Oreochromis niloticus: one gene and its partners. The main gene of each other region encodes a partner of the protein of the gene in region 3 in a complex. Links are inferred from orthologs where the notes say so. Each region holds a gene or a part of one and is shown on either strand. Other genes may lie near its edges.

Region 1 (8,018 bases), on a different chromosome or scaffold from region 3:
TAGTAGCCCAAAGGTGAAACATACACACAACACACACACACAAAATTATAATTCCATCTTCTGGTGGTTATCCAGCTCTGGGTCACGGGGTCAGAAGTCTGAGCAGAACACTCTCACCCCAGCCACCTCTTCCAGCTCTTACAGAGGGACTGGAGGTGTTCCCAAGCCAGCTGAGAAATGTAATCTCTCCAGCATGTCCTGGATCTGCCCCGGGGCCTGCTGATGGTAGAGGGTGCCCAAAACACCTCAACTTAGAGCGGTCCAGGAGGCAATGACATTCAGATGCCTGAACCACCTGGTGGAAGTGGTTCTATTCTGACCTCTCGTGAATGACTGAACTCCTCACCCCATCTCTAAGACTGAGCCGAGCCCGTCATTTCTTTGGTGTCATTCTTTCAGTCACTATCCACAAAATGTAACCACACGTGAGGGTGCCAACACACTGGTAAACTCATGGCCTTGCTTTCATATTCAGCTTCTCACAGCATCCACCATGCTGATTCATCTGTCACCCTCCCGCTCCACTCTCCCTTGTTTGTGAACTAGATACTAGATCAGGGGTGGGCAACTCCAGGGCTTAAGGGCCGGTGTCCTGCAGGTCTTAGATGTGTTCTTGATCTAGTCACAGCTGATTTAAATGGCTAAATTACCTCTTCTACATGTCTTGAAGTTTTCCAGAGGCCTGGTAATGAACTAATCATTTGATTCAGGTGTGTTGACCCAGCGTGATATCTAAAACCTGCAGGCACCGGCCCTTGAGGCCTGGAGTTGCCCACCCCTGCACTAGATACTTGAGGTAGCAACGTGTTCCCACACTGAATTGGCTTTTCCACCCTTTTCCAGCCGAGAAAATGTACGCAGCTCATTGAGAAAATATTTCAATTTAGAGTTCTTCATCCTCTTACCCTTTTCTGTTGCTCCAAAAGATCTTGTTCATCCATGACATGGGAATCACCCTGAGATAGCCACAAACAATAACAGCCAGTCAGACAAAACATGCTTTTTAAACTGTTTTCTGTGTAGTGCAGTTATTGCCGTGTTGTTATGAAGTTATAAAAAACATTTATCCTGTCAAATTGTGGTTTACGTTATGATCACATCTCAGAATGTTACTTTGTTTAATAAATGCAAAACAAATTGGCAAAAATGAGTCAAACAGTAAACTTTAGGTCCAGCTATCCTCACCTGCTTGGCTCTCTCCTCCTGCTGTAACAACATGGCTGCTCTATGCTGAGCCATCTTCAGCTGATCATCCTGTGTGAGGCCAGGTGGCAAAACAGAGTGGTCCATGCCCATGTGTATACCAGGTGGAGGGGGCCCACTAGGCATCATGCTCATAGCTGGGATCATACCCATACCAGGAGGCATGGGCGGCATGGGCATTGGGGGTATGGCAGGGATACCTGGCATCTAGAGAGAAGGAAATACAGGAGACTGTGATGTTAATGGGAAGCACGAAGGACTGAAGTGAAGTCACACTGAGACTGTGTGACTTTCTAGGTGAGATATTAAGGCGTTCAGTGAATTCTCGTTTTTGTTTTGGTGAAGTGTTTCTTAACACCATTCAACATAGTTCTACAAACACATGACAAAACATACTCAACTGTAACAAATTTGCAAGACTGAAAAGTTATGATTACATAAAAGCGACTTTCGGCTGCTCCCTTAAGGAGTTAAAACAGCAGGTAGCTCTGTGATATGTGATTCAGAAGAAGCCAATCCTGACAGAACCCCAAAGAGAATTGTGCCTCCTCCTACAACAGGATCTTTTGCTTTTTAAGCAAATGTGTTACACTCTGTAACAGCTTTAGTAACAGTTGCAGAGGAACCGAATGGCTTGTAAAAATGGGCCATACACCCCATATTATGGAAGATCCCCCACTGCAAGGAACCAGATTGAATGCCTTCTCCAAGTCTACAAAACACATGTAGACCTGATGGGCAAACTCACACACACAGCCTCAAATATGCTTGAGAGCTGGTCTAGTGCTCAAAAACTGCACAATCTAAACACGTAAATCAAAATATAGAAAACATTACATCGACACATTGTAATGTTTTTCACCATTGTATGCTGCAGTATTAAACAGACATCAGTGTTTTCCCTCTAATTTACCTGGGAGCCCATTTGTTTATCATCAGTAGGTTTGCTGAGAAGAATCCCAGTCTGTGGAGGGACACATGTAAAAAACACAAACCAGAACAGTTTCTTTGATTTCAATGAAAAGGAGAAGAGGTTCGAGAAATAGATGAATAGTTTGGATATACTATTAACTTCTGCCCAGACTTTATTCATTACTACTCTAGCGTAGCGTGAAAGGTCATCAATAGTTACAAAAAGCACCATCATTCCAATCAGCTGCACGTTGACTGAATAAAACCGAATCCAAATGCATTTACCTGCATCATGTAGCCCTTCAGTCTGTCAATCAACTCCTCTCTGGGACCTAAAGAGGAGAAAATGAATCGGAAACGGCTGTTAAACAACGCTGATATCACTTTAGGCGTGTAAAATGTGCACCAATAATGTGCCAGAAAAACTCAGAACTCATTTTGAAGTTAACGAGTTACAGAAAAGTAGGCTAATGTTGACCCCTCCATATCAAGTTAGCAAAGCAGCTAAACCGCTGAACTAGTTACAGAGGTAATACGAAGGAAAAAACCTAGCCAAACGCTCTTAGTTTTACCCAACATGAATCACAAGAGTTAAAATGTCACTTACATGATTAATTAGTGCATGAAATTTACTTAACAGAGTGTAAACATAACTCAGGCCTAGCTTAAACTCCTTGCAACGGAAGCGTTGCGTTTTAATGCTACTAGCTTAAGTTAGCAACGGACTAGCTGCCGATAGCCTGTGATAAGGCGTAGTGCTCTACGCGGGTGTTTTTCTTACCCATGTTGGGTACTCCAAGCTCTGCCAGCTTGCCCTGAAGCTCCGGGATGCTCCATGTATTCAGAGCTGCAATAGCACTCCCCAAATCGGACGGGAGAGAGTCGGTGCCCGGCGGTCCGTCGGATGCCATGTTGAGGTTAGCTCAATGGAACAACGGCGGCAGCGGAGGACACGCGAGAGCTGGGGAAACACGCAATGCATGACGGGACGTGAAGTCTGAAGAGAGATTTTTTTTTAATTAAATGCACTGCTACTGCAACATTCAGTCAGATCAAGTACTTTCAAAATATACATTCCCAATAGGACAAAACATAAAATGGGACAAAAATCATATTCTTCAGCTGCGTCCAATGCATTGTGCGGAATAAAAGGCATTCCTTTCAGACACATCACACAACCGAGTCACCCTGTGTTTGAACTTTGGCCATCAGGTAAAAAGATACAGACTAATACAATCCCACACAAACAGACGCTAATCTGTGCCCCCAATCACCCCCCTCACCCCCCATACACTGTGATAGTTTACACTGTTTACAACTTCAGTACGATCTTATTAATTTATTTTCACTATTTGTTCTTTTCTGATGGGCATAAACGCGCTACTAACTGGAGTCGCTAGATGTCACCGTTGGCTGCTTAGACTTGAAATCCTTTAAATGTTGCCGTTAGAAGAATAAAGAACTTCCCTATTTTTACATTTTATAGCTTACAAGTCTACTGACCTTTTAAAGTAGGTATAAAATAGAAATACTGTGCGTAACTAAACTTCAAATGGAGTCTAGCACTTGGTAAATGTGTCCTTTTTAGTTAGGCTCAGTATTTGTAAAACCATAGAAAGGGATTTTTATCTTTTAAAGGGCAGCATAATGCATATAAACGCGCACTACCATAATGAACCACAGCATCAAGTAAAATCTGCTGCAAACAAAGAGCACTACATGAGAGAACAGCGCACGAATCCCTCCCTTTCAGTGTAGTTTTATGACTTGCGGGCACTGCGCAGTCGCATTGGAACGAGGGCACACATAGCGGCAGCAGGGCGTTTCTTCTGTATAGAGAAGAGGGGAGGGTACAAGGAAGGGTACATACTAAACATGGAACGGAAAGCATGTTGTGAAGTTGCATGTTGAATTTCCGTAACAAACTTTTTTTTTTCAGAGGAAACGCATTGCAAGGTAAATATGAGATTCATCCTTCAACATCACTTTACATCAGCAGTTTAGTGTCGGGGCGCAGGGAAGTGCACTGTGCAAAACGCGTTTGTCCTCCTGGTCTGAACTTTTTTTTTTTTTTAAGAGCAGAACTGGAAGTTTGTGAGTTGTTGTTTAGTTTAGTTTGTAAAGCCGGAACAAACTACAGTCAAACACGAGTCTGGCCCTGGTTTCACGAGAGTAATAACCAAGAAATATTACTAGCCCACATTAGTGTGCTGTTGATTCCGCAAAATCTGCTTTTCCTGTGTTAATCTTTATTAATTTTTTTTTTTTCACCGTGACTGATGGAAGTGAAGGGATAGGAAATTCGTCAAACAGCTGTTCGTGTTGCTCATTGTTTATTTCTTTCATTTCATTTTTTTCCCCGGGACCACACCTATCTATCTGTCATAGGAGCTTTTGCTTATCTGCGTGAGCCATGCGCCCAACTTAAAGTTTTATTAAGAGCAAAATCTGCTGGAGCTGAGGCGCATGCTCTAACGAGTATTCTCTAATTGTAGCCCAGTGTTTCTAAAGGCTGCTTGTTTTCCCTGCAGACTTTGATGAGAAAAATGACTCTCACACAGAAGTCAGCATGTTCCCTGCAGCGGTCACTGTGTGTGTGTGTGTGTGTGTGTGTGTGTGATCTCTCTGCTGGTCTATTTTCTCCAAACACTTTGGATATTTTATCACACAGTAAACTGTGTTGGAACATGAACCCCTGCATGCAGAAATACACCACAGGCGCTCAGAAGGCTTACTCATGCCACAAACTCTTGACTCCACCCTCCCAAAGGCAACACTTATTTACTATCAGCATGCATTTAATCAGCCCAAGTCGTGAGGAGGAAACTGGACTCAGACAGTCATCGGCAGAAAAGCATTAGTCACACATAGTTGATGATTGCAGTGCTTTCACAGCCTTTGCATGGCTGCACAACCCCTATGTTAAAGGAAACATCCTGCTGCTGTGCCAAAACAAATAAATAAAAGAGCTGGGTTATAGGTTGGATGAAAGTGCACATTTTCAGTTTTCTTGTGATTATACTAAGTGTTGCATTGCTAGACGATACGGTAGCACATTCTCTTGTGCTACCACCCACATTGAGGGGGAGGCTAAGCGCGTGTGTGTGTTGGGATGTGGCGTGAGGGTATGCAGGCTGCATGTATTTCTCATGTGAGGGGAAGTAAAATATTCATTAGAGTCAGATTGAACTGTTGTTGGGTAAAATGTGCCCGATGGCAGCCAGCAGAGGTAAAAACCACACAACTGAGGTTTTAACAGAACACGTTATGATCCTTTGTTGTTGGTTTAAGTAATGGGGCCATGGGTGTCTTGTCATAAAACTAACTTAGAGTGACATGCATATTGAAAGCGTATGAGTAGTTGTTTGTGGTTTGCAAGTATTTCATGGTAATGGGTGTGTTTTGTGAGGGGCAGTGTTTTTTTTCCTCACAGAGCAGTCACCTGACACACTTCTGCCTACAGTCAGTAGCTCCTCCCGTTCTAGGAAAAGTTAAGTTATAGGAGTGCTCAATCATTTCATTCAGGTGACAATGCGACTACGTTAACAGTGGGGAAAAAAAGATGTAGAAATCAGGTGTAACTCCTCCTTTCCGCCACATTTGGCACATCCCTCGTAGGAGGTTGACTATAAAGCTTGTACAGAAGGGTCTGTCTGGACAGGTTCCTGGGATCAAACTAGAAGGTGCAGTTTAGAGGAGAGGTAAGAAACAAACACATGGGCCTGACATGAATCTGAAAACTTTCATTTTTAACCAGACTTTTGTTAGGGTTAGGGTTAGACTCAGCAGTGAGGGGAAGAACAGGGACAATTTTATTAATGGTAATAAAGGGATAAACATGGTCAGCAGGATGGATCCATGCTTTCATATTTTTGCCGTATTCTGACAGTAACGTTCTAATGTTGTTGCTAAAATTGAGTCTCATTAGAGCAGAAAATTTCCGATCATCTATTGTCCAAATCTGCAAATCCTGTGCGAACTGTAGCCTCAGTTTCTTGTCCTTAGCTGATGGGAGTGTCACACTGATGTAGCCCGTCTGCTTGTTGTGTTTGTGTTGTGTGTTTAGAGACGCTCTTCTGTTCACTTTGGTTATAAAGAGCAGTAATTTGAGTTACTGTTGGCTTCCGATCACCTCGAAGCAGTCTGACATTTCCACTTTGACTTCTGACATCAAGAAGATTTTCACCAGAGAACTGCCCCTCGCCAAAATTTACTCCGTTTTGGCTCACGCTGTGTAAACTGTAGAGATGGCTGTGTGGGGAAATCCCAGCAGATTAGCAGTTTCTGAAATACTCAGACCAGCCTGTTTGACAACAACCGTGCCACATTCAAAGTCACTTAAATCACATTTCTTCCTCATTTTGATGCTCAGTTTGATTTCCAGCAGGTCGTGTTGACCATGACTAAATACCTGAATACACTAAGTTGGTGCCATGTGATTGGCTAATTAGATATTTGCATTAACACACAGTTTAACAGGTGTAACTCTAGAGGCCACTTCACTAAAGGTATTTACATGTCCACATTTAATTTGTACATACATTTATATAATAAAGAAAAATAGTGTTGGCACTTGTAGTGATGCTAATGCTAATATGTGGTACAGATGCTAAATAGCTCTTTATAAAGAATGCAGGAGGAAGCAACAGTAGTTGTTACAGCGGTGGCAAAAGTGCCTTTGTTATTGTGAGTAATAATGCTTGTGGTAAGAAATATAATGGCAGCAATAGTTGTGGGTGCAGCCATTAATCAGCGCTTCCAGCTTTGCTAGCTGTAGCTTTAGGGGTCTATTAGCAGAAATAATGTGTAGTACTCATGTACATGATCCTAATGTAGTTTCATCATGCTAGCATGTGCAAAGACAAGTCTTTGTGTTGTGTAATTTAACAGATGAGAAACCTGCTGTCGCAGCTGCATGCTCAGTTTTTGGCTCTCTTAGCAGCAACATTCTTCACACAGTCAAATGGGCCATCTTTGTGGGTGTGGTTCACTGTTAGCAGGAGGAGGAAACTCTTACATGGCCCCACTGCTACACAAGCCAGTGAAAGCCACATTCTTTTCTGTTTCTGCTGTGACGGACACCTGTGGACTGAAAACAGGAAGTGCGTATCTTTATGTGCATATCTGAGGTGAGGGAGTGAAAAAAAAAGCTGACAGAGTTGAAAGAAGATAAAAATAAACGCCTTCCACTCTGTGTTTGATGGAAAAGACGCAGACTCAAAGCAAAACAGTGAGACTAACTCAGTCCAAAGCTCCAGTTCTGTCTGTGGTGGCACTAATGATAGTTTATGCTTCCTCATCCCAGCCTCTGCTTAATTAAAGCGTCACACAGAGAGCTCGTGCTTGTTCTTTGCCTCATGCAACCTTTATCGTAATTCACACAAAACCACACACGCATCCTCCTTTGTTAATGTGCTTTTCTGATTAAACATTGACTTTAAATGTAGTTCTCACTTACACTGTGCACACATTCAGTGCACCACAGTAAAAGTTGGCACAGATGTGCCATGTGTGTTAGGCTTTTCTAAGAATGCATGCGTGGTTGACTTCAAAGAAACAAGGAGACCTCGTTTCACATGGAGGGTGTTCACGGCCTGTGCTTTTGTTCTCTGATGTATGTGTAGATATTGGTATGTACAGACTTGTATCTCACTGGATAACTTTTTTACTCTTGTGCTCAGTTCCTCACTTTCAGCTTCTTTTTTGTGCAGGGTTTGGCCACTGCTGTGATAAGGACAGGCTGTGATCCTGCACGGTGGGAACTTGCCAAAAAAAGAACAGACGAGGACTAGTGTTATCTGGAATTGGATCTTTTGCACTGAGGAAGACGTCTCTGCTGTGACAAACTTGGGATTTATTTTAGCTCCTCCGTTTTTGATTGCAATCAAAGCATCCAGCGAGAG
Region 2 (6,403 bases), on a different chromosome or scaffold from region 3:
ATTTGTACTGAATTAGCAAAAGACGTACCCAAGAATACTAAGAGAGGGAAGTTCTGGGTGGGGTGTTTCAGCTCCAGGCTTCACAGCTGGGGTGGTTACTGGCTCTCTGTCTACCTGAAGATGAGAAAAAGACATAACTGTGAACAACTTCAAAGACTTTTTTTTTCTCTTAAAAACGTGTTGAATTTTTTAATAAAAACTGCATGAAGCAATCGGTTTACATATAAACTGTTTAAAGACACAGATATATAATTCTCCATTTGCATGGTGATACCTGTATGTCTTTCTTCTGGATAACTGTGGGTGCTAGAAGAAACAGCTGATCTGAAGCTTCAGTCTGTGGTTCTGGTTTCAGCACAGTTAAAGCAAACTCTAGCTTTGCTATGGAAAAGAATAAAAAGTGAAGGGACATTATTTTTTAAAAAAAAGCTAATTTAAGATATTTATTATTACCCCTTTTTTTAACCTTACATAGCCATATGCAAATCTGTCTGTACATGATTTATAAATACACTTCTTTGGCTTGTAACGGAAGTGCAGGAATGAATCACCATCAGTTCCATGTAGGAGGATGGTGCCAGACCGTGCTGTCAGACAGGCTAAAGGTTCGTGACTCTGTGTGTGCAGCCAACCAAGGAAAGCTGTCTGGATCTCCTCATCATCCTCCTCAGGCTGAAGAGAAAAATGTCAAAAAAAATCAGATGGACAGAAAGGAAAGAAGCTGAACAGATTTTCTGCAATTCTGATCAAATTATATGTCCTTGTACTTCATTTACATCCGACACTGTAACGCAGATGTACATTCCAGCACTCACCAGTGGATTTAGGGGTTGTAGGCAAATAGTAGAAGCTACTTTGATAGCTGATTTCACTGACTTAATTCTTACTGTTGAATGGGCAGGGATATTCAGCCTGCTGGCCAGAGGCTCTGGAATCTAAAAAATGAAAGATACAAAAATTTTAACCAAAACAGAAAGAACTAGGGCACTGCGGTATAGCTAAAATACTGTTTATAAACTATATATTCTCCTCTTCAGACACCATACTCACCCATACTCTTCCACTGTGAATCTCTCCCTTGCTTCTTTCCTTGCATCCAAACAGCTCGGTACAATGGCACACTGCCCTAACCACCATGGCCTCCTCTTCCTTCACCTCCTCTCCTTCAGGTGTAGCAGTCTCCTTAGTAACTCTTGGCTTCTTCTTTTTCTCCATTGCCTGCTTGGTTCTGTCCCTCATTTCTTTGGGGGATGGGACTTTGGAGAGAAGGCCATATGTAATTGAGGAGTGACCTTCACTCAGCCTGGCATTGAAACTGTGGCTCCAAGGAAAGATGTGAATAGCATTAGTTGCAACGTGGCTTATAGTGCTGAGAGAGTGGGGAGGTGAACCGCACACTCTGTACAGAGAGTCCGTAAGGAGAGCGGGGATTTCAGGTAAAGGCGGTTGTTCCTTAACTGGGTCATAAGCGCCCTTTATCATGTGATGAAAAAGGCTTTTCAGGTCTGCTATGCCACCCCACTGGTGGCTGTTAGAGGTGGAGGAGGTACTTTCTGATGATGGTCCTGAAGGGGAGGAGAAATCCATGTTTGGCTGTCTGTGAAAACTTTCTGAGTTTGGGTTGGCTTTTAGTTGAGAATGTGTGTGGGTGCCAGTTTCTGCGCGGATCTTCGGGGACACAACAAGTTCTGTGAACTGCTCCAGGCGACCGTAGGGCACACGTGGAGAAAGTGAAGCTGTGCAGAATTTAAAAAAAATTAAACTGTATTATATAAGTCAAACATTTAAAAATGAAGTTGAGCAGGCAAACCATTATAACTGCAATATTTCTGTGTAACATGTTATTTGATAAACAACATATAACAGAATAATTGTATCAAAACTGACCTATTCGGATAAAGATTACCGTGTGGTTGTCCACCCACACAGGAAACACGGCATCTTGGAAAACTACTCTGATCTGATCCAGTAGTTGCAGCTCCAGTGCAGAACTGTGGAGCTCCTGGCGATGTCAGTCACACAAAAGTGATATATTAATACTTCTTAAGAGTGCTTTAAAAAGGAGAAGTCACCTTGTAGTTATTAGAGTGTGTAAAATAGTGCAAATTGTATGAAGACAAGTTTCACACACTGTATGTAACTAAATTACCCACCAGGATTTCCCAGTCATCAGCTGATACAGGCTCCACAAACACCCGATCCAATGATGAGACCTGATGACATGGCCTTAAGAAGCCCTGAGGGAAAACAAGCCAGTAAACCAAACAACTAGTAAGTCCAAAATTAGCTTCTTCTGTAAATACAGCGAAGAACAGATTCCTCACGGAGGGACTCTACCTGCTCTCCATCTGTCAGGCCCTGCTTCTCTCCTAGCTGCCGACACAGCTCCACTTTGTGGCTGTCCAGGCTAGAGCTGGCTCTGTTTTGAGTCCAGGTGAGGAACACTGGAGGCCCATGACCACAGGACAACTCCAGAGGCTGGTTCTGAAAAAGACCGTAAATGGGTTGACTGTGAATGCCACTGTATACAAAAGTATTCTAAAGTCATTGCCAAGTTGCATCCCATGCAACTTGGCAATGACCCCAAATTAGAGCAGCAAATCTACAACAGAGTGGCTGTAAAGGAAAGGAATCAGTGTGTTGCAATGGCCCAGTCAAAGTCCAGACCTCAGCCTGATTGAAATGCAGGGTCTAAAGAGAGCTGTGCATAAAAAAATTCATGCAAACACTGTGAAGTAGAGTGGGACAAAGTTTCTCCACAACACTGCGAGACACTAATAAAGACATAAATAAAATGGTTACTTCAATTTAGTGCTGCTAAAGGTGGTTGTACCAACTTTACTGAATCAAGGGGTGTACTTTGTTTTTCACATGACTGCATGTTTGCTGAAGCACCTTTTGTTTACCCAGACTATACCATGACCATCATCCTTGCTTGCAACCATGCTTGAGAAAACAAATCCTCCTCACTCAATCCATTTTACACAGTTTAGACTAATAATGACAGGGTTAACCCAGTTCTGAATCCTTTGTAATTAAAGGTCAAACTCAAGGAGAGAAAGCCACGAAACAGGAATTCCTGTCAGCCAAAAAAGTGCAAATATAAACAGAAAGCTCTCATCAGAAAACCACTGTTCATTCATAACAGCGAACAGGACACAAGCTAGAAAAGTCATTTAAAAAATACCCTTAGACCCCGGATTCATTTCTAACACAGTCCTTTGCCTCCACCAAGTGAAACCGTAAAGGAACTGCTACGAAAACAGCTCCACCGAGAAGGAAACAAATACTGAAATACCAATTGCTAACTACCCTCTCTCTCCATATGCTGAAGTATTGTGTTTGACTCAGCTCCTCTTCTATCTATATTCAGAGCATGTTTCCAGCCGGGCCGAAGTGGAGTGAATGGAGTCATGAAAAACTGATCTTTCAAATTCATTTGGTCTAAAGAGCAGCCTGACGCGAGGCTGAAGTCACATTTTATTTTGTAATGTGAATAACTGTCAAAGGGTCTCGAAAATTAATTTACAGCAGCATTAATTTTGTTAAAAAATAAAAGAATAGAACAACACACAGAACGGGCCAACATTTTAGCTAAAAATGGTTTAAGTCAACAAAGCTTCTACTAATTTTACCTAAACGATAGTGCTAGGTGGTTAGCTAGGCTATCTTACCTCGTTCAGGGAAAGCTGTGATATTAGCTTCAAGGGAAGGTGTAAAAAGCAGTTTTTTGCGTTGTTAAAAGTGACCGTTACGGGTTGAATGCCCTGATTGCTAAACATGATTTTCACATAGTTTTCTATTTCGCGTTCAACGCGTCAAGCAAGCTGCACCGCTAACATCAAGTGTGTGACAAACTCATAGTCGATCGATGTGCTCTGTGTGGGCCAGGCCAGACCAGAGTAGCCGATATTCGGTTGAACGCATTTCAGAATAAGACATCCAACGACGCCATGCTTTGAATGAATCCTATTCAACATGAAAATGAACCTTTATTTTGAAATGCATCAAGTGAAAAGTTCATTTCCACAAACATGGCGGCTCCCGTCAACAACAGCTCTGGCTGTTGGAGAGTCCCGGAGGTTTACAAACATCACGAACAGCGGAGAGTGTGCATTTCTCGACCAAAATATAGGGAAGGAAGAAAAGCCAAAGCAGTTAAGGTAAGAAGACGCTTCTGTTTAGAAATATTTGACCAAAAGAGCGTATCTTAAGGTGTGAGACACCCCCTGCTACGTGGGAACGCCACTTACAGTGTTGTTAAAAAACATCTGCTCCCGGATTTTATGGACTCCAGTGAACCACAGTGAGAGCCTTGACCACATCTAGATGATAAATATAACCACTATTCGCAGTTTTCACATGAGCATTTTTCCATCAGTGTACCGCAGTCAAGTGTTGCATTATTTGCAGGTTTACACCATAAATTTAGAGAGTCGTTACCTGATGGTCCAAGGAGTCCCAGCGATTGGGGTTATGACTGAGTTGATTCAGCTGTGTGCCCTTTATGGAGCTGTGGAGGAGTACAGGCCCCTGGACGAGTATCCTGCCGAGGAGTTCACAGAGGTCTACCTCGTAAAGTTCCAAAAACTCACAAGTGCCAGGTACAAGATGTAACTTAGACTGTTCATTATGCCTAACTTGCAAAGTCTGAAGGACCTTCTGAATAATTTGGTTTTGTTTCAGAGCAGCAAAGCGACGCATGGATGAGAAAAGTTTCTATGGTGGTGTGCTGCATGTGTGCTACGTCCCCGAATACGAGACTGTGGAAGACACCAGGCTCAAGCTGCAGGACCGGAGGAGCTATGTCATCCGGGCTGCTCAGAAGAGAGGTATAATTTTATATCTATAGGTTATATTTTGCCTCACAAAAACGACCACTCCAATGAGAAACATCTTAGTTCCTCATTAGTCCAAGCAAACAATTTCCACCATTTCCCTTTTGCACTTTTATTTTAATTTGACTCGGATCTTTTTGAATGATGGGGATTTCTAAACTTTTTTTTCTGTCTCATTTTATTATTGCAAAGTGAGAGAAAGGGAACAGAAAGAGGACACACAAGAGGAGCCTTCTTCATCAGAAACAACTACCATGTCAGATGACAACATCCTCACACACAAACAGACCTCTGGAAATGACAATACAAGGGAGACTTCAAACGTCAGCCACTATTTAGGCTTTCCTCCACTGCCATTACCTCCCCAAAAACATCATTACCATAGGCCTAAAAGTCAACATTTACCGACAGAGGATAAAATGGGGACTTTACACAATACCTGTGCTGGCACATTCGAGCAGCGAGAAGGGAGTTCAAGGAGCAAACAGACCTTATTGAGCAGACAGGCAGCACATCAGGCTGCGGCAGTCAGATTTCTTCCTCGGACCACACACTTGGAGAAACGGAAACGCAAAATGGAAGAGGCTGAGGAGCCCTCCAGTACTGTTTCTGGGCAGAATGAGCCTTTGATTGGACCAAAACTACCAGAACCATCCAAACTGGACATGGAGGATGAGTCACTGAACACAACTGTCAGCCTGATCAGGAACACAATGAAGCAGGTACATGTGATTATATTGTTTTGGTTGTAGTTAAGGACAAAATAATATTTTCACTATGATCTAAATCAGTTAAACCAGTTTCATCGTCTCTCCTAGGTGACATCGAGTCCAGACATCAAACCAGTGGAGAAGAAGGTCAAACCACGCCGTCGGATTTGATAGAGCAGGACTTTTTATTTATTTATTTTTTATTAAAAAATTTTGCATCACAGGACCATCTGCCATTGAGGTTAATATTAAAGATGTTTAGGCTGGGTATGGAGTTATGTGATTTGTTTATTGTTCCATTTGTTCCTGAAATACGCGTCCCTCAAACATCTCGATTCTCTGAAAAAATAAGAAAAGCAGACTGTAAGATTGAGAATTTTTGATGGGGAAATTTAAAGAGCTTAGAAGCTTCTCATTACAGATTACCCTGAAGTCAGGAAGGCAGGTTCCAAAAGCTTCCAGCAATAGGTTTTCATCTTTCACAGCCTTTTCAAAATCTTCAAAAGACAATTTGCCATCATGGTCATAGTCCTGTGGGAGGAAGCACCGTTGGCAGAGCTGGTAAACTATTTACAGACCTAAGAATTTTTTAAATAGTGTTTTGGGTTTGTTTTTTGTTTTTAAATCATGTGTAAACAGTTATATCTGTGCAGCAAACAGCTCACCATCTTCTTCAGTATGATCTCCACCAGGTCTTTGATTCCTTCGTCAGGGTCCTCCTCATTGGGTTGTCTGATGAGCCTGCCCTTCAGCATATGAAGCATCTCCTCTCTAGAGATGGCGTTGTCACCATTCAGGTCGTACACAGTGAAGCAGTCTGAGCCATGCCAAACACAGGGATTTTTTTAGGTAGAT
Region 3 (7,928 bases):
TATGCTACCACAACCTAAAAAGCCAAAGACAATCCATTCAATTAGGCGCAAATTTAATATAGAAGTGGAAAAATATGATCACAATTGCAAAATGACAAAGTGATGTGTGTATTAAAAACATTCAATATTAAACTACAAATCTGTCCTCAACAGTTTTCCTCTGTCACTGATGTACAAACTCTACCTGTCAACTCCGTCCCAGCGGTACCCCGGTGGAATATTGAACCGGTTTGGAGGTGGAGCAGGGCCTTTATATTGAGGTTTATCTACAAAAAATCAAAACAAAACATACAAATAAATAAAAATACAAACAGTAGCAAAAACAAGACTGCTGTTATTTAAAAACTTCTTACAAGGATTGACCTGGTGAAATAAAATAAAACATATGTAATGTTAAACACCTTGTGTTTTTGTGCCACGGTCCTTTTTACGCCTGAGCATTGCAGCCATAGGATCGCCTTCTCTTTCCTGTTCTCTCAACATGCGGTCAAGATCCTCATCGTCACGGTGACGTGCCAGTGGCTTCTGGGCTTCGTGCAGCGCGTCCTCAAGTTTCTGCTGATGCATCTGGCTCTGTGCCAACCTATACATACATTTTAACATAAACCATTGAACCACATGATGCTTTTATAATCTTTTATGTGGATACAATCTCATAAACTGTGATATTTGAAATGATCATGCACATTTACCCTTTTCCCCACTGAGCGTATTTCTCGTCTCTTGCCGCTTTTTCTCCAGCTTTCTTCTTCTGTTCATCTCTCTCTGAATCCAGATCCCTCCTTTTGCCACTTTTGTCTCTGAAAATCGTCTGAGCATTACGTGATTCATCTGGTCATAGGGGATGAATGGGTAAGTATGTAGAAACGACATTATTTAATTTTAGAACTAAATAAAATACGACAATATAAATGATAAGCTGAAATGAGACGCAAAGCTGTATGAAACTCTTCCATCAATGGGTGTAAAAAAATCTTAAGAGAGAAAAGTTGAGGAAACCTTCAAGTGGCTGATTGTGTTTCTCTCTACGTCTGTTCTCCTCTTGCTCTTTCCTTAAAATGTCCACAGAAACCAGGCCTGCCTTTCCACCAGATAGCATCCTTTGGCCCTGGTTATAAAATAAAAAGACAATGAAAAAAAAGAAAGAAATCTGAGCGAAATCAGATTTTACATTACTCTTTGTTCCAACACAGTCTGCTTACCTGTGACTGGCCTGGCCTACGAGGAGGTGACAAATCTCCATCCGAGTCCCTTCCACTCGGTGGCCGCACCCTGGGTGGAGACTGGTCAGAGTCTGAGCCCCGTTTAGTTTTTGAGGGCCTTCTTGGAGGAGATTGGTCGGAGTCAGAGGCATTTCCCTTTAGGGGCCTTTTCCTCGGGGGAGACGGATCCGAGTCTGAATCATGTCTATTCTGACCCTTCTTAGCCACCGCTGACCGATGAGGATCCGGTGAGCGTTTTTTACTTAACAAGGATGAGCTGAGCTTGCTTTTGCTGGAGGCTGAATCTGACAAAGACACAGTTAATTTGTTAATTTTCATTTTGTAATGACTTTTGAACAAAAATTAAAGATTTATTATTAGATCAAGGTATGCCTTAAAAAGAAATTTCCATACAAAACTCATGTTAAATGGGCCTTTGCTTTTTACTTTTATTCATATGCCACACCAGATTCCAATTTACAATTTAATTGGATCACTCACCTTTACTTTGCAATTTTTCTGACTTTTCTGAACATTGTCTCGGTGGTGACAAGTCTGGGGAGTCATGACGTCTTCTCCTGGGAGGAGAGACATCCGGAGAGTCGTGACGTCTTCTCCTGGGAGGAGAGACATCTGGAGAGTCATGACGTCTTCTCCTGGGAAGAGAGACATCCGGAGAGTCGTGACGTCTTCTCCTGGGAGGAGAGACATCCGGAGAGTCCTTCCGACTTTTCCTTGGAGGAGAGATGTCTGGAGAGTCATGCCGACGTCTCCTTGGAGGAGAGATGTCTGGAGAGTCATGCCGATGTCTCCTTGGAGGAGAGACATCCGGAGAGTCCTTCCGACTTTTCCTTGGAGGAGAGATGTCTGGAGAGTCATGCCGACGTCTCCTTGGAGGCGAGACATCTGGAGAGTCATGCCGGGTCTTTTTGACAGGAGAATCCCGTCCTCTTCTCTTTGAAGACAACTCTGGTGAGTCATGTCGACCTCTGCTTAATGACCCAGCCTCTGTATTTTGATGTTCTTTTCCATTTCCTTCCTCTGTGTCGTCATTTTGATCCACTTTTAGGAGAGGAAGTAAAAGTATAGTAAACAACATTCTTAACTTAATATTGCACAAATCCCCCCTACTTCTGTGACTTCTTATTTACCTCCAATTACTTTCCATCTGTTGCTGGTCCTAAAAACTTCCATCTGTTTCACTTCCTCGGGTCGATCATCAATCACCTCAGCAATCTGAACAGTTAACAAAAGATTAAGTTTTAAAACAGAACTTGGTGACATAACAAAAATGATCCAAACTACAAGCATACCCATTTAATACAATAGATTAAATTTCAGCATTAAGTAGTGTCCCAAATCATCAGGCGCATGTTTATTGTTTAAAAGAAACCCTCCTATACAGGAGCGCATATAGCATATGTTTAATCCGTAATCATTTCAACTGAATGAATGGACAGGTTAGCCAGGTAGCTAGCTAACGTCATCTTACCACTGGAGCTTCTTCTTCATCCTCTTCCTCAATCTCCGTCTGCTGTGTGACCATCTGTTTCCAATCTATGTCATCGTCCACTATTTTAAGTCTTGAATCAAAGAAGTAAACACGAGTAAGTTATTACATTAGGCAGTGAGGAAAACAGCGCTGCACAACACCAGAGTCGTTAACTAGCTTAACGGCTCCACAGCTAAATCTGCAGCAAAAATCGACTAAAACGTCGCCAGCGGCTCACCCCTTCTCGGGAACCTTGCGACGCTTCTTTTTTGCCTTTCCTTTAGATTTCAGGGAATCATCGTCGGCTGATAAATAACGTTTTAGGTACTCAGCCTTAGAGAGTTCCTGTCCGTTCTTACTGCCTGTGGAAGCAGCCATCATTATGTTGTCGGAAACTACGGGTGGCGCTGAGGTTCAAGAATGCCAGTTCGGATAGCGGATGCAAGGGGTAGGCTGAGATTGAGGCAGGCAGGCAAGCAAGCATGCCTAAATTGTAAAGTGTAAACTATAGTTAGCAAATAAAATAATACAAATAAATTAATACAAATAAATCATGAAAGGGTTTTGAGGAATTTACCATTGTTAACTCCAATTTCACTCCAGGTGCAGTGCTGTGAAAGTATTTATGTGAAGGGGGAAATAAACCTGTTCAAACTTACCTGTCCCTGTGTAAAACAGTAATTGCCCTGTTGTTAAATCATTAATTAATTTACTGAAATTGGGTTAACTGTGATAAACCACATTTTTTGCTGAGGTGCAAAAGTGAGAATGAAATAAGAGAACACCAATAGTTTTAATTGATATCAGTAAGAGGAAGTTAAACTATCACCAAAAAATTGTCAGTCATGTGTTGGCATTGTTTCTACGTCATCAAAATAATATTGGTCCAGGTTTACTGACACTTACTGACACCGTCACATTATCAATGCTGGTCATCATGCCCTTTTGCTGCTAAAGTATTTATACCTACTTTTCTATACCTTCTTCTATATTCTTCTATATCCTTCTTCTATATTCTGTTTTTTTTCTTGTTATTGTTATTGTTATTGTTATTGTTATTGTTACCAGCATTATTATACAGATGCAACACCAACACAAGGACATCAGATACACTGTCACTCATCATGAAAAACAACATGCCAGAGTCATGCCATGGCCTCAACATAAAAGACAATACCTCTTACAAATACCTCTGTCATGAGAGTGATAAACACACAGTGCAGCATTATAGATTATAGATTAAGTTACTAAGCTGCTGATCTTTTGTCTTGATGCATGCTCAGTCATCCAGGTAATGGAATCCCAAAAAGTGGATTCTCTTCATTTGGATGTAACGTTTTCAGTGTTAGAAACATTTCATCACTCATCCAAGTGACTTCTTCAGTCTCAACTGACTGCAGGTTTCCCCAATCTTAAAAACCGTACCTTTGCAGAATTACTAAAACTAGCATCACTGGCAAACAGTGGGCTGTGATGTAGTTTCTTGATCATTAACCATTTATGACTGTCACTGCTCAGTGACAGAAATACTTATGAGCCCCTGAAACAAGCCCAGGAAGTGGTAACAGGAAGAGGGTGATAGATTGTCTGAAGCAGTTAGAAAAAGCCAATGCTATTGACCGGACCTCATACCACAGGCTATACCCAGGGACAGTCTATATGGTGTACCTTTAGGACCAATTGTCTGTATAATCAACTCGGTCACCTATAACACCTTAAAGCTTCTGGCTTCGATCCTCAACCCGCTGGTAGGCAACTCTAAACACCACATCCAGAACAGTTAGTTTTGGTCATTGTGCAAGGGTACTGTTTATTCATGTTACAGCAACTCATGAGTGAATGAACACGGTGCAATAAAAGTACTTTTAGAAGTACATTTTTCCAAACACTGGTGGTGTCAAATTTGTAAGGAAAATGTGGGTTGAGCACGAGAGTTGAGTATGTGGGTTGTGGCCAATGTTCCCTCTAATTTTTCATGTGTCTGAGCGAACACACAAACTCCCTGAGCGATCCCTTGGATCACTGTGAGCGACATTAGATGTGTGCACTGTGGTCACGCCAGCATTGAATCCATCCAAGTTACATGGTTTATTAAAATTAAAATAAAAAAAATAAAAATAAAATTACAGCATTTACATTTCTGTTAGACTACTTTTAATTAACTGCTTTAGACCAGTTACAATGAAAGTTTAAAAAAAAAAAATCTTGTTCATGACCTGTGTAGTATATTAACACTATTGGAAGTAAAAATAACTTGAACTCCAATTTTGAAAACACAACTTTCTTTCTTTCTTTCTTTTTAAAAAAAAAAAAAAAAAACTCTGACTTGTATTATGAGTCTGTGGTCCGTGAGAGAGTCCTGTCTGCAAAATACAGTATATAATGACCAATGTTGGGCAAATAATTATATAGTTACTTCTTCAAAAAAGCAACTGAGTTTTGCAAACAAGTTTTTTTGCAGCTGTTTACCTAAAAATGCTGCCAAGGCGGTTTTTAAAACAAACATTTCAAAATACTTATAGAACAATCAGGTGTTCTGTATCAAATCTGATGCCACACAAATTATTTGTGCCACTCCAAAAATTAATTTCTGTCCACTATCAGATAAAGGAGAAAAACAGCCTGATACCTGCAGGCCTGACAACAGGAGATGTATCACTCCTGTAACACCTGTAACATTCAGCAGTCGCCTCATTGTTCTGACACACACAACAAAACTATTGACTACACTACACACTAACTACACACTAACTACACAAGATTTGCGCTAAACGTCTCAAATCTCTCACATCTCAAAACACCGCCGTCACTCCTAAAACTTCCCCCCGTTTCTTAACAACTAAATGCCATGTTTTGATTGGTCGACATGGTACATTTTGCGACCAATGGGAAAGGGTGTGGGGTGTTTTGGTTTCGTCTTTGCTCACAGGCGGAGAGTGCTTTCGAGCGTTTTCCTTAGAAAACGCCGTTTTTACCGTTTCTTCCCGCAGTAAATATAAACAACGATAGTATTCAGGAAGAAAACCAAACATTGCATTTTTTTTTTTTTTTATCATAACTCTGGTTTTACGTGGCCTATCAACACAATTTAAAAACTGGTATAAAGTCCACACTTTTTCCGTCAATTGTTCCGTCTGTCCTGCTCACATCTCCAATGGTTGTACACGTTGTCATTAACGTGGCTTAACTCCACATCAGCCACGCTTTGCTAGCTAAAACACCGGTGTCGGCACATATTTACTTTAATTTCAATTCAGGTTAGAATTTTTTTTGTGTGCGCAACGCAGATTTTCTCTGCGCAGAGACCGTGCCAACAGTGCGCAATTGCGCACGTGCGCAGCTTAGAGGGAACATTGGTTGCGGCCATGAAAAATTTGCCAATAGCAAACAGTTTATTTTGCTATTGACACTTGTTGGGTGTCATTTATTGAATTCTGAAAAAACAAGCCACATCCACAATTTAATATTTTATTCTTTTAACAAATAGGGGCGTCACTAACATGTGGAAGAACAATACGCAGCCACAACAGCCTGGCATTTCAACCTCATGCTGGTCACCAGGTTGGCCACACACTGCAACTCAGCCAGTGTGTGACCAAGTGCTGTGTTGGTCACTGTGTTAAATAGGGTTGTGTCCTTGTTTTATTTTGTTACATTTTTGGAAGAACCAAACTGCAGGTTCAGAGAGTGTTTCATTTTGCAACAACTGTATGTCATTGATATCTATGATCAACTACTTATTCCAAGACAAAACCAAGTTCCCAAAAGATATACTAAAATATATTCTGTAGATACCATCCAAGATGTTGGGTGTAAATACCCCCTTTACGAAGCTCTACCAGAGTATTGCACTCAAGCTTGTATCTTTTTCCGACTTCTACAAGTTCATTTTTAGATTAAATTTAACCTCAAGGCCCAAACACAGTCATTTTATCCTGTTTTCCTACCATCAAAATATGTATAAATACATTACACAGCACATTTTGACACTCAGACTGTTGAATGCTTTTATTTTCAAACTTTTCAATCCAGGAAAGCCAAATGGAAAATATAAAGTATAGATTTTATATGAACAACAGAGTCTGCGTCTAACTAATCAAAAGGTTTTTAAGCCATGGAGCAGTTCAGCAAACATGTAAAGCAGCAAAAATACACTTCAGGTAGAAAAGTGTTTTCAATAATTAATTACTGATGGAAGACTCACTCTAGTTTACTTGAATTAATTTATTTTAATACAGCAAGAAAGGGGAAAAAATCACGAACCCGAGGAATACTTTAAACTTTATGCAAAACACTCATGGGGTGGTGTGAACATAAACCAAAAAGCCAACAAATGGTATCCACTACCTGAAAAATGGCGCCATCTTGTGGCCTCTATCTGTCACTGTAATTCCTTCAAAGCTTTGTGGAAAATGCTTCACCTGTAAAAGTTCCGTAGTCACCACTGACAGTTTTGTTTACCTGCAGGACGTTCAGCGGCGTCATTCGATGACGTCACAGGAGAGTCAGAACGCAAAAGTAGCAAGTAAACCTATGACGTTCATCTCTGCATCATTATATTTGGATGTAATTGGTGGAGAAATATCAGTTAACACTTCGCAGCGTTCCTCGCAGCATTCACTTGGCTTACTCTACATTTACATCGTGTTTTTAAAAAGCTTGTTAAAAAGTTTTCAAACAATTTTAAAGGACTTTGGACAGTCTGAAAGTTTTAAACCAGTCAGCTTAAAAGTTTGACAACTGTAGTTTCCTCCAGACTGTTTTCATGGATCAAATGGAGAGTGGAGACGGACAGCATAACGACCCCATTCGAAGTAAGAGCGTGATTTCTCTTTTCAGTTTTCAGATGGATTATCTGACAGTTTGTTATTACACATAACAATTTCCAAAGTTTTAAGGCCTCAGTCACACAAGCCCAGAGTCTGGTCTGTGACCCCTGAAAACCTCCGTGTGGTACAGTGTATTTCCTGGTTCACTGGGAATACACATATTTCTCTTTTAATCCACTTTGCAAAGAGTTGCTTTGCAAAGTGGATTATTTAGACTTTGCATTACATATTATATATAATTATAACAATCCTAATTAATTAGTTTAATAGTGCATTACTACAGTGAGGGCTGAGGAAAACATTGAAATAGTGACATTTATTAGCTGCTGCTCATCGACTAAAGCCTTTTTTTAAATTGAAGGAGCAATTACACTATAATAATTTTAATATATGTCTGTTTGTATG

What was found. The genes of interacting proteins can lie anywhere in the genome.
Region 1: bud13 (region 3) and sf3b2 share a complex: the UniProt entries of both Homo sapiens proteins name them as parts of the minor spliceosome. The link is inferred for Oreochromis niloticus from reciprocal best matches to the Homo sapiens genes BUD13 and SF3B2.
Region 2: bud13 (region 3) and rbm48 share a complex: the UniProt entries of both Homo sapiens proteins name them as parts of the minor spliceosome. The link is inferred for Oreochromis niloticus from reciprocal best matches to the Homo sapiens genes BUD13 and RBM48.

What each region holds. Positions count from the first base shown.
Region 1 is NC_031967.2:24,041,249-24,049,266, forward strand, and holds the start of sf3b2 (splicing factor 3B subunit 2), read right to left. Parts: upstream 3,082-8,018; 5' UTR 3,027-3,081; coding exon 2,897-3,026; intron 2,448-2,896; coding exon 2,401-2,447; intron 2,168-2,400; coding exon 2,117-2,167; intron 1,411-2,116; coding exon 1,186-1,410; intron 957-1,185; coding exon 906-956; intron 1-905. UniProt on the Homo sapiens protein: Component of the 17S U2 SnRNP complex of the spliceosome, a large ribonucleoprotein complex that removes introns from transcribed pre-mRNAs.
Region 2 is NC_031985.2:22,586,921-22,593,323, reverse strand, and holds rbm48 (RNA-binding protein 48), read left to right. Parts: upstream 1-4,008; 5' UTR 4,009-4,034; coding exon 4,035-4,163; intron 4,164-4,253; coding exon of another isoform or gene 4,254-4,325; exon of another isoform or gene 4,326-4,380; intron 4,381-4,413; coding exon 4,414-4,604; intron 4,605-4,686; coding exon 4,687-4,832; intron 4,833-5,030; coding exon 5,031-5,560; intron 5,561-5,656; coding exon 5,657-5,719; 3' UTR 5,720-5,822; downstream 5,823-6,403. Other genes in the region: peroxisomal ATPase PEX1, read right to left, coding at 29-114, 275-381, 552-672, 816-935, 1,051-1,736, 1,888-2,002, 2,154-2,237, 2,338-2,484 and 1 more; clxn (calaxin), read right to left, coding at 5,837-5,887, 5,975-6,079, 6,214-6,365. UniProt on the Homo sapiens protein: As a component of the minor spliceosome, involved in the splicing of U12-type introns in pre-mRNAs.
Region 3 is NC_031975.2:13,772,523-13,780,450, reverse strand, and holds the start of bud13 (BUD13 homolog), read right to left. Parts: upstream 3,116-7,928; 5' UTR 3,076-3,115; coding exon 2,933-3,075; intron 2,786-2,932; coding exon 2,695-2,785; intron 2,439-2,694; coding exon 2,354-2,438; intron 2,265-2,353; coding exon 1,704-2,264; intron 1,508-1,703; coding exon 1,203-1,507; intron 1,109-1,202; coding exon 1,000-1,108; intron 832-999; coding exon 693-831; intron 584-692; coding exon 402-583; intron 267-401; coding exon 185-266; intron 1-184. Other genes in the region: ribosomal L1 domain-containing protein CG13096, read left to right, coding at 7,460-7,508. UniProt on the Homo sapiens protein: Involved in pre-mRNA splicing as component of the activated spliceosome. As a component of the minor spliceosome, involved in the splicing of U12-type introns in pre-mRNAs.